3 linked regions of the Drosophila melanogaster genome follow. The protein of the gene in region 1 interacts with the protein of each later gene in a pairwise test. Each region holds a gene or a part of one and is shown in the gene's direction. Other genes may lie near its edges.

Region 1 (4,303 bases):
ATATTGTGTGTACATATGTACATATATGTGAACAAAAAGCTGATATGAAATATTTTCCTTATCTAAAATGCGCCTTAAAAATCAAGCTACATCTACATATTAATAGAAATTCCATTTAGCTCACTAGTATTTATATTTCATTGCTCTTTATGTTATATATACATTTTTATAATATACTTTATACCTTATATATAAAAAAAATTTTTTTTTTTGCTTTATACACTCATTTTTCATTTTTTTATTTTTTATTTAATACATATATATTTTTTTATAAAAGTAGCAAAAAGAAAGTTATTTTTGCAAGTGAGCACACTCATAAACGCCCCACATCTGCAAGATTGAAGTCACTGACAGACGCACATCCTTCGGGAAAGGTGTTTTGACAGGGCGTCAGGCAAGTCAGAAGTGCAGACACAACAACAGGAGCAATGGCAACAAGGGGTTAATATTTATGCCGCACCCTCACCGTAGCGTATCAATAAAAAGATCGCTCCGCTGGGCATTCAAATTGTTTGTTTGATAAGCCAGTGTGGCGAAGTACGAGCACTGAAACGAATTCTAACTTAGTGATAAACCTAGAAATAATAATATTAAGCTAGATTCATCTTTAAATTTAATATTAAACTTATTGCGCAGATATTGTAATAAAGTAATGTGGTGGTTTCTTTTTTATGTGTCTAATATTTATGTTTTATTAGATATTATTTTTTTCAGTGCTGTAAGTTTATCTGGGGCCAGACTCTCTTTTACCGAAGTTAATACAAATATTACGCCTTTTTATGCTGAAAGCAAAAAGTGCAGGCCAAATGTGGCATAAACTTTACTTTTGGAAAAAAGGGTTGGCCACACCCACCGGTTTTGTAGCCGCCCGAGAAGTTATGACATTGTGTCATTGAATCTTTATGTGTGCATTCGATATGCATTAAAATTCAATAATCATAAAAATAACACGCAAAATAAAGGGAAAATCCAGTCCCCCCGACTGAACAGCTCCCTCCAATTAACCCTTGAATGGCAGAAAAGGAAATTGTCTGACTCTGTGTCTTTCTGTGCCAATATGAACGTCACATAAATCTTGGCAACACTACTACTAAGTCGCTATTAAGTAAAATTGACCACATATTTTATCTCATATGCGCACGCAACGAACGTAGACGAAAATGGCGAGGGTCAGGGGTCATTCGAATGTTGGCTGGTGGGTGGGGAGGGCAGTGGGAGAACAAGCTGGAGAGCCAGAACAATGTGCGAGTAAATTAAGCCAAAGCTTCCAGAAAACACAAATCAAACAAAACGTTGGGAAAGGAAACAATTAAAATGGGGAATTAACAAGGTAAATACAATTAAGGATAGTAGGCTGAAATGAAAGAGAGAAAATGTTATATTATATAAAATCATTTAACCAATAAATTGTTTTATATATGTACCTTTGTTTTTTCAATATTCTTAATATTGTTGCCTGTTGCTTACTAAAAATAATGCAGTTAACTTTTACAGTGAGAGAAATAAATAGATAATTTAATCTACCTTAGAGATAAAGAAAGCAGTACATTGGGGTAGTAGAAGTAGAACTTTGTCATTCTACGTCAAAAGTATCATCACTGAAATTTGCAAGTTTTTTGCATTGGTTTTAATGAATGTGTTAAGAAATCAACCTTGAAATAGCCGCCAAATCACACAGTGTTGTCAATAAGCTCATTTTTAACTTATCTGGCAGCTCTGAAGGATTTTTAGAACCAGTCTAAAATACCGAAATATATCGATAGTGGCAATAAACTTCTCGGACCATTTTCCTTTCGTTATTTGTACGTATATATAATTAGAATTACAAATAAAATCACGCCTTTGTTTTTGTAAAAGTATATAAGATTTGGCTTATTTCACATTATCAGCAGTATCCGCATTTGCCGGCTTCTACATCGATAGTCACAAAGTATTGAAACGCCTATCGAACTATCGAGAGTACGCCGCACTCGCAGTGACGTGTACTCTTTTTTTTTAGCAAAATATAAGCCGCATCTCTACACATAGTTTAGTTTAAAAGAGCCTATCGACAAGACGCGTTGATTAAGAATTTGTTGAGATAAACTCGCAAGAGATAGACACGTAAGCGGTTTCGCAAACTCAAAAAAGAAAGATGAGGCAACTGGGTAAGTTTCCGGCCCATGCACGAAATAGACAAATTATGTTAATAATACATTTTCAATACGCCCCCGCAGCGAGCATTTTGTTGCTGGCATTTGTCGTGGGCAGCGTTAGTGCCTTCTATTCGCCCAGCGATGGCGTTGTGGAGCTGACGCCCTCGAATTTCGACCGGGAGGTGCTGAAAGACGACGCCATCTGGGTCGTGGAGTTCTATGCTCCATGGTGCGGCCATTGTCAGAGCCTGGTGCCCGAGTACAAGAAGCTGGCCAAGGCATTGAAGGGAGTCGTGAAAGTGGGCTCCGTGAATGCCGATGCGGACAGCACGCTGAGTGGCCAGTTCGGTGTACGTGGCTTTCCCACCATCAAGATCTTTGGCGCCAACAAGAAGTCGCCCACGGACTACAATGGTCAGCGAACCGCTAAGGCCATCGCTGAAGCCGCTCTGGCGGAGGTCAAGAAGAAGGTGCAGGGTGTCCTGGGCGGCGGCGGTGGATCGTCTTCCGGCGGTTCCGGCAGCTCGTCCGGCGATGATGTCATCGAACTCACCGAGGACAACTTTGACAAACTGGTCCTGAACTCCGACGACATATGGCTGGTGGAATTCTTCGCCCCCTGGTGTGGTCACTGCAAGAACCTGGCACCCGAATGGGCCAAGGCCGCCAAAGAATTGAAGGGCAAGGTTAAGTTGGGCGCCCTGGATGCCACCGCGCATCAGAGCAAGGCCGCCGAATACAATGTGCGTGGGTATCCTACCATTAAGTTCTTCCCTGCGGGCTCCAAGCGAGCCAGTGATGCCCAGGAGTATGATGGCGGACGCACTGCCTCGGATATTGTATCCTGGGCCAGTGACAAGCATGTGGCCAATGTGCCAGCACCCGAACTCATCGAGATTATCAATGAATCGACTTTTGAAACTGCCTGCGAAGGAAAGCCATTGTGCGTCGTGTCCGTTCTGCCACACATTCTCGACTGCGATGCCAAGTGCCGCAACAAGTTCCTCGACACATTGCGCACCCTGGGCGAGAAGTTCAAGCAGAAGCAATGGGGCTGGGCCTGGGCAGAAGGTGGCCAGCAGTTGGCCCTGGAAGAGTCGCTCGAAGTGGGCGGATTCGGCTATCCGGCCATGGCTGTGGTCAACTTCAAGAAGATGAAATTCTCCGTGCTCAAGGGCTCCTTCTCCAAGGACGGCATCAACGAGTTCCTGCGCGACATCTCCTACGGACGTGGCCACACGGCGCCTGTTCGCGGAGCCAAAAAGCCGGCGATTGTGTCCGTGGATCCTTGGGACGGCAAAGATGGCCAACTGCCCACCGAGGAGGACATCGATCTGAGCGACATCGATCTGGATAAGGACGAGCTGTAAGGCTGTGAGGATCGGAAATCAAGACTGTGCGGCCCAAGCTCAAATTTCCACTTATTAAACTAACAAACACTTGCATTCTGAATGATATTCATTAGTCAGCCATCGTATCTAAATATAAATAACTCTTAATTATCTTTTAGCGTTTTTCTACAATCCTCACATAGATCTAAACGAATCGAAACCAACGATCATATAAACTATGTACCACAAAATGAATAAACTGTGCAACAAAACGTGTAAATTCTGGGCAAGTGTTAATCGGGTTCGGAAAAGCGCGTTTCGTGCTTAGCGAGTTTAAAAAAATGCATAAGTTGAATTTTATACAAAGAAAAGAATTCTTAATATCCGTAAAATTCAGTTTACATTTTCTTCCTTATGGAAATGAGTTTGGCTTATGAATAGATCATTCTTCAGTTATTTCTTTGAAATGAATCATCAAATATGCTTGTTTTCTTCAAAAACTCAATAGCACCATCACATCCAAGAATCAACAAGTGATATACATATTAGTTTTTTATGTATTCCAACGTAGCGCTGTATAAATATAAAGTTATTGTAAATCAATGAATTTAATATAGAATACAGAAGAATTAGTTCATTACCACCCCAAATTCCAATAAAATGTGTGAGAATTTTACCGTTGGGTGAGGTAAAACCATTTATTTTATGTAAAACTCACATAAAAATGTCCAAAAAGATTTGTATATAAACTTTGATAGACTTAATGCTATATAACGTCTAAAAACGTTTTTTTTGACACAATATATAGAAGGATACTCATGCTGGTCTAAATGCACA
Region 2 (2,722 bases), on another chromosome or scaffold:
CGCCTGGGTGTGGAGAGATGAATAGTTATGAGGTTTTAGGTTTGGCTAGCCAATCTTGGTTTTCCAAAGGGTGCCTGACACTATATATTTAGTTTTATTTACTATCATAAAAGTACGAATGATCCACTTCTATCCCATGACCAACTCACGTATGTTCGCCCCATGCTATTCATCCCTTAGTCTTTTCACCCATTAAAACCATTTAGCATTCATTAAGCCCAATTTCTGCCCCATCCATGGTGCTCGGAATAATCAACAAATTAACTAAATTCCTAGTGGGCGCCTCCATCCCCAGAATAATCCAAATTCCGAAGTTGTGACATCAAGAAATGTCGAAGCGATTTCAAGTGCAGCCCCGGGGAATCTTGGGAACATATTCGAACATTCCCAATCGTCCGCAACCTGTTTGATCCGTTGGTTATCAAAGATATTTCCAAACATGTTCGAAGCGAACCTCATGATGAGGTTGCATGGAATCCATAAGATACAATCCACAAGCTGCTTTGCAGCTACAGCCCAGCGGAATTTCAATTCAGTTCGCGCTCAACTCACAGACACGATGGTCATTCAAACGCGTTAACGAATAATAATTTAAAATAATATTCAAATGATAAATACACTAAAATATGCACTAAACCACGCACTAAACCTAAATCCACGAACTGTACATATTTGTGTAAATAAATAAAGTATAAACAAACAGCGAAGAGAAACCTCGAAATACCAATAGACCGCTCAAGTTCCCATACATTGAGCTGGCCAATCGTGTTTGAAATTATTTGTTTGATCGATTTTGTGCGGTGTGAACACCTTGTAAAGGCATTTGCAAACCTATTGCCATAGCAAGCAAAGTGTGTTAAGCTGGGAAACACCCTCTGAAAAGTTTATGTACTACCCCCTTCGATCGGTCGAATAATAACTACCACAAGACAAGCATTAAGTTTGTGTTTACGTGCTGCTGACTAATTGCGTTTATATAGCCCGACTATATAAAACTGTACAATAAGACACGGCCAACTGTTTTAGTTTGAACGCCTCAGTTAAAGCTGCAAATTGCTTCGCTACCAAGTGAAGTTCTACATTTTCGCAGCGAAAACGTTTTTCAATTGATTTTCATTAAGTGAAAAAATCCCGAGATTGTCTTCTTTTCGGTTTCCAATTGATCGCAATTGCACCAGACCCATAAAACATATATACAAAGTGAGGCTGCATTCCAAGTAGAGCAAGACAGTAACCACTTCATCATCACAACATCAGATGCTGCATAATTAGCATTCGTTGCGTGGAGCGTCGAAAAAAAAAGCGGAAAATGTATCTCATACAGGTGAGGCCAAGCGATACAATGGATCCCCCTCTCACGATTAAGTGTTTGCTCTTACTTATCACATGCTGGCGGCACTGCACTTGCCGACTGAAAAAGATCTTCATTTAAGCGTTTTTTAATTGTCCGCCAGCTGAGATTTTCAGCATTTACAATTCTCCCCTCCGTTTGAAATGACTGTGAGAGGCACGCATCTCTGGCGTATATAATTTGTTTAATTTGTAGCTAATTTATCTTTCCACTTGGCAGCGGGCAGATCGGATGTCGAGCAAATGGGGGGGGGTTCACTGGAGCAGGTGCCTCATTACTGAACTTTGAACTTGAAACGGTGTTACGATTTACAGCTGGTAATGGATTACGGTTAGGCATCGGGGTTCGGGTTAGCAGAACAAATGTGCAGGCCTGAGATTATGAAGGGAACTCAAATATTTTGACATAACCATTAATCATTTGTAAATGATATACATTCAATCGATTGCTTTTGAGTTATCTGTCAGCATTGCCCTAAATTATTTAGAGATTTATTCCGAGTTTATATCAAAATTTGTGGAATAAGTATGTCAGAACAACCGACACAACATAAATCCGACGATCGCTTCACTATCCTGCAAACCTTATCGGATGTAGTGGACTCTGGTCTCAGCAAGGAAGCCCTTAAAATCTGCATCGAACTGGTGGACAATGGTGTCTGTGGTGGAGCACTAGCACATGTAATTCGAACCATTAGAGAGGAGATTCAAGATGATGAAGATAAGGAAAGTGATGATTCCGGAGAATCGGCTGCATCAACAGACTCAACTTTGTAGGAAATGAATATAAAATATATTTTTGTGTTTATATTTTGTGTTTGTTAAATTAAAAGTTCAACTTTCCGATGGTCTGTTTCCGAAATTTGTAAGACGCTGGTTCTTGGACATCCAATTGCATGATTTTTGAAGGCTTTCAAGAAGACTTCGCCACTCTATTTGCATTCATCAAACGCAAGCGACTGGCGTTTCTGAAAACGGTATATGTGCCGGCCATGATAATGAAAAGTTGCACCACTTTGGCTTGATAGTAGGTCTAAGATGATAATGTGTTTAGATAAAAGCTTATAGCAAACCGAAGCAACAAACGACTCACCTGTCTTATATAGATGGGCAATGGAATGTGCGATCGATGAACATGGTAATCCATTCCTCTGAACAGCCAATAGCCCGGCCACGCCCCCAAACTGGCGAAAAGAAATGGTGCTGCAGTACTGTAGGCCTTTTCAAAGGATTGCGAATGCACCAGTAAACGTATCTCCTCGCCAAGATTATGCATCCGAGGTGGGTGGGCTATTGCCTTGGCTGGTTCCTCCTCCTTTCGCTTAAGCCTCGTCGAGAACTTCTCCTTCAGATTGCCGTAATAATTTTGGAT
Region 3 (4,505 bases), on another chromosome or scaffold:
TAGCGAACTGGGCAGAAGAATTCGGAGAACTCAGCTAGATGAGCTGTTGCTCGAAGTAGTGGGAAAAGCCTCGGGAAGCTTTCCCAAGTATAAAAGCGATCTAGAGGCGACGGTCAATGATTTGGCATCTGTGCGGCAGCTCAAAGAATAGCACTATCCTGCAGTGGACTGGACGAGGATACGATAGTAGAGGAGCATCAACAGGCCCTTGGGAGTAGAGCTGCACTGTTTTGCAGACGATGCGGCAATTACAGCAGTCGCCAAAACAATTGCAGAGTTGCAGGACAAATGTAACACCACGATTGGAGCTGCCGTCCACTGGAAAGCCGGGCTAGCAATAGCGGCTCGCAAGACCGAAGCAGTAAGTACTAAGCAGCAGGAAAAAGGTGGAGAATATGCTAGTCCTCTGTCAATGCGACACAGGTGACCTCCCAAGAGTCCCTCAAGTACCTGGGTGCTATGATAGAACCACGCGAGTTACGGCAGCAAGAATGCATCAGTCACAGTTTCTTCATTGGCTAGACTGGTGCCCAACATCGGTGGTCCAAGCTATCTGGCCAGGAAACTGGCTTCGCTGCTGTACGCTGCACCAATCTGTAGCAATGCTACAAGCAGGGGTTCATACCTGAAAGGAGCCATGGCCCTCAGGCTCATTAGAGGATTCAGGACAATATGTGAAGACGCGGCACTAACTCTGGCAGGCCGCCAATTGATCGGAGATCAAGGCTCTCGGCCTAAAGCGGGGTGGCGCTTACCGACGAGTGGCTGTTGGGTGAGTGGCAGAACAGGTGGTCTTACCAGCTCATTCCTGAGTCGGCGGTTTGGGCAGAGTGCCAACACAAATGCTTGGACTACCACCTAACCCAGTTTCACACGGACCATGGCTGCATTCGGGCCTATCTACGTCGATTGTTCTGCGTCATTTGTGAGAAAACAGAAGAGCATGTGCTAATGCACTGCTCCAGGTTTGCGATGGAGAGGGAGCAGCTAAAGACGAAGTCAGGTGCTCCGTTCAGCCCTAGTGGCTTGTTCGCAGCTATATTGGCAAAGAGCGAGGCATGGGAGCTGGGACACAGTCTAATCATTAAAATGATTAAACGTGTCCGATCAGACGAGATGGCCAACAGAGAAGGTGGCTAAACCCGAACAGGTGTCCTGTGTGGTGGCGAGTGAAGAATACTACCTGAGCGTTCCCGGCTTGTCGTAAAAAGCGACTAAAGGGTGAAAAGAGGCGCACTCATGGCCTACACTGAAGGAAGAGAGTGTGAAGCCAAATTCTGTTCATCGAAGTCATACAATGGCAGTCCCGGTGAGCGTTCAAGGACTGAAGAGCACACGGAGGTTTTTGTTTTAGTATGTGGTGTTGTTTTTGTTGTTGCGCAGGTATCAGTGTTACCAGACCAGACGTCGGCTAGCACCTAAGCGCGATTGTTCTCGGTTGTGCGAAGGGGCACACTGTGAATTAGTGACTCGTAATGTCAGTGGATAAAACGTATTATGTAGCTTAATATATCATTGACAGTTCTGAGAATTTTCAATCTTCTACAAACTAATGTTAAGACATGCAAAAATTGTTTTTGTAAATGAACAAGTAGTTTAATAGTATTAATCGTATATTTGTATAAGTGTTAGTATATTGCTGTTTCTTTTTTACATTTTATATCCAGAATAACATAGATGTTTTTAAGCGATAGTTGCTATCGATAGTGCTGGACGATAGTTTGCCACCCCAAGTGTCACCAGTGAAACGCCAGTCCTATTTTTTTTTTACGAACGTAGTTCGAATAGTCAGGATAATTTGAATCTGGTTGTTTTTACTTCACACATAGCTTAGGAAAAGGTGTGAAAAGCGTATACTGTGAGCCATGGACATCGATTTGAGTCTGGACGAGATTATAGAGCGGAAGCGCGGGCAACGCGGCTATCGTCCCCTCGACAGAAAGTTGTAAGTACATTTACAGGACAGCCGAAAAAATAGAATGTCACTCAATGCGTTTTCCATTGCAGCAATGCGAACTTCTCCAAGCCGCGCCAGCTGCTGAACAAGCCTTTTTTCAAGCCATCGGGTGCCCGAGGATCTCACTCTGATACGCCGGCAAAGCGCACCTTCGATGCCAGAAACACGATCGCCGCGAAGACACGGGCCAAGATAGCCGATGCCCGGGATCTGATCAACAAGAGCGTGCGCGACTCGGGCATCGATGCCCGCCAGCTGTTGCTGGAGCGAAAGAAGGCCCGTTCGGCGGGCCCAATACTTATTGATGACGAAGAAGAGTCGTTTGAGCCATCACATCGCGCACGCGGAAAGGGAGTGCACATCGGTCAGTTTGGTCACCGCCTTAGCATGTCAAACCATGCGGACGGCACCATTCAGGCGAAATGGGACTCGGACGACGGGGTCGTTGAACTGGGTAACCACATGTTGTCCGGCTTGCGTCGAACCTTTGACCCCAGATCCCATAAGCCGGGCAAACCCTTTGCTCCACGACGCTATATTGATCTTGATAATATGCAGGACCTCGAGGATGGTTAGTTAGTGCCTTTCTCTGCCAAGCCGTTCCTAAAAAGCACTCTTCTACTTTCAGAGGAAATATCTCGCACACTGCACTTAGGGCAAATGAAGCAAGCGTCGCCACGCTACTCAATTGGTGGGCTCGACCTGAACCGCGGCGACGACGTGGAGATGTCCATGGCCCCACTAAATAACAAAATAGATAACAATGCATTCTCCATTTACGAGGCGGCCCGCAATCGCATTGAGCGTCCTTCGCTGACCAACCGACTCGTAGTTGGACGCTCAAATACCACCAAGGAGCCTCTCGAGCGCCGCCACCGCGACACAGCAAGCACAAGTAAACTCCCAGAATCGCTGCGGTCTCGTCTGTTTGTCGGTAAGAGGGATCCTCACATTTCTCATGGCATCTACGCCAACGAGAACCGGAGAAAGGCTGTTGGTGGCGGTGGTGCTAGGGATAGCGATAGCGGTACTGATAGTGATGGTGATGCAGCTGCTCCATCGAAGAACAAGCGCCGTTCGCCATCCCCATTGTCGCTGCGTACGTCGAACACAAAGGATGGATACCGCCTGCTGGTGAGCAATCTGCATACTAACGTGACTACTGCGGATATTCGCGAGCTTTTTAGCGACATCGGCCCAGTGTACGACGCTCGTGTGGTGCGTCCCGGCACCGCCGAAGTTATTTACAAGTCACTGGAACATGCCGAGAAGGCCGTAGATACCTATCACCATCGTCAGTTCGATGACCAGCCCATGCACTGTGTGCTGGTTAATCCGCACTCCTCCCGTCGCTCGGTGCACAAAGCCAGGTGAGTGATATGCTTTAAAGATACCAAGCAGTATTGTTCAACGTTCTCGGCCGTAGCTCTCGCACCGTGACCACAAACTCGTCTGGCGTGGAGGTGGACATCGATGCACTTCACTCGGTACTCTTCAGGGTCCGCTAGGAAGCGAGAGGCAGAGCCCGGGAACTAAAGCAACTAGATAATTTTTCTCATCATTTTCATCATCTCCGTAGTATTTAGTTCAACAACGTAGTCCATTTTCATTTCGCGCTTATTAAATTCGAATCGATCCATCCAGCGTATGTTCAGAAAACCAGACTAGTTTAAACGAGAACATTTCTTTACTATAGAAACTTGAATTTTCTAATGCAAATTCTGGCATATCTGTCCACTTCAGTATTCAGTATTAGGTGGCTAAAATTTTTGTCTTATCATCAAAGTAATTCATCAGTCCCACTATATACACAATTAAATGTATGGCATTGATAATGATTTTGCATCCGCTCTTGAAATTTGGTATTGAAAACTTTTCTTTTACCTTTTTTGAATGACACTATGGATTATGATTATACGATAAATAAGAGGACCCAGTAATGTTACAATTGCTTGTATAATATTTCATAAAATGTACAGTTTTTAAATTTCATAAAATTAATTCATAATAATTAAAGAGAAAGGAGCAGTTTGGTAAGCAGTTAAGAGTTGCAAAAAAAAATGTATATGTAAAGTAACTTGGAGGCCGCTTAGTTATCCCGGATGCCCGTTCCGTAGTTGGCGCCGCCGGCACGGTTCAGTGCTTCACGGAAGAGCTCAATGTCCAGCTCGGCCTCCACTCCCGCCTGAAGTTCCACGGCAAAATTCTGCAAGAGATTAGAGATGAGAGGATCTATTTCTGCCTCTGGGCTCTGGCATCTCTAGCTATTGGCTACTCACGTTGAGGACATCCTTGATCAGCGCCTTGTCCGTGGACATCTTGGCCCTCTGGATGACGCCCACCTCCTGCCCGATCCACGTCAGGAAGATGAACTTTTTGCGCTTGGACATCTCGTCACCCATCTGGATGCGTATGTAGCCAAAGGCGCGCTCCGAGTCGCCGAACTGCTGTCGGAATTCCTCAAAGCACTGACCGCGCGCATGTACAATAATCTGGGCGCCATCGAACTTGAATACCGCCCACTCGGTGTCTGTCAGATCGGAGCGTA

What was found. The genes of interacting proteins can lie anywhere in the genome.
Region 2: the proteins of CaBP1 (region 1) and Mzt1 interact in a two-hybrid assay, tested with the Drosophila melanogaster proteins (one large-scale study listed by BioGRID).
Region 3: the proteins of CaBP1 (region 1) and CG18259 interact in a two-hybrid assay, tested with the Drosophila melanogaster proteins (one large-scale study listed by BioGRID).

Annotation. Positions count from the first base shown.
Region 1 is NT_033779.5:16,354,384-16,358,686, reverse strand, and holds CaBP1 (calcium-binding protein 1), read left to right. Parts: upstream 1-1,951; 5' UTR 1,952-2,134; coding exon 2,135-2,147; intron 2,148-2,216; coding exon 2,217-3,505; 3' UTR 3,506-3,801; downstream 3,802-4,303. UniProt on the Drosophila melanogaster protein: Binds to both apoptotic cells and phagocytes and promotes Drpr-dependent phagocytosis of apoptotic cells.
Region 2 is NT_037436.4:2,387,458-2,390,179, forward strand, and holds Mzt1 (mitotic spindle organizing protein 1), read left to right. Parts: upstream 1-1,807; 5' UTR 1,808-1,878; coding exon 1,879-2,127; 3' UTR 2,128-2,193; downstream 2,194-2,722. Other genes in the region: Svil (supervillin), read left to right, coding at 1,310-1,324; CG32299 (uncharacterized protein), read right to left, coding at 2,264-2,383, 2,444-2,722.
Region 3 is NC_004354.4:18,780,736-18,785,240, reverse strand, and holds CG18259 (uncharacterized protein), read left to right. Parts: upstream 1-1,746; 5' UTR 1,747-1,865; coding exon 1,866-1,945; intron 1,946-2,007; coding exon 2,008-2,528; intron 2,529-2,585; coding exon 2,586-3,327; intron 3,328-3,383; coding exon 3,384-3,465; 3' UTR 3,466-3,976; downstream 3,977-4,505. Other genes in the region: CG6891 (uncharacterized protein), read right to left, coding at 4,047-4,163, 4,237-4,505.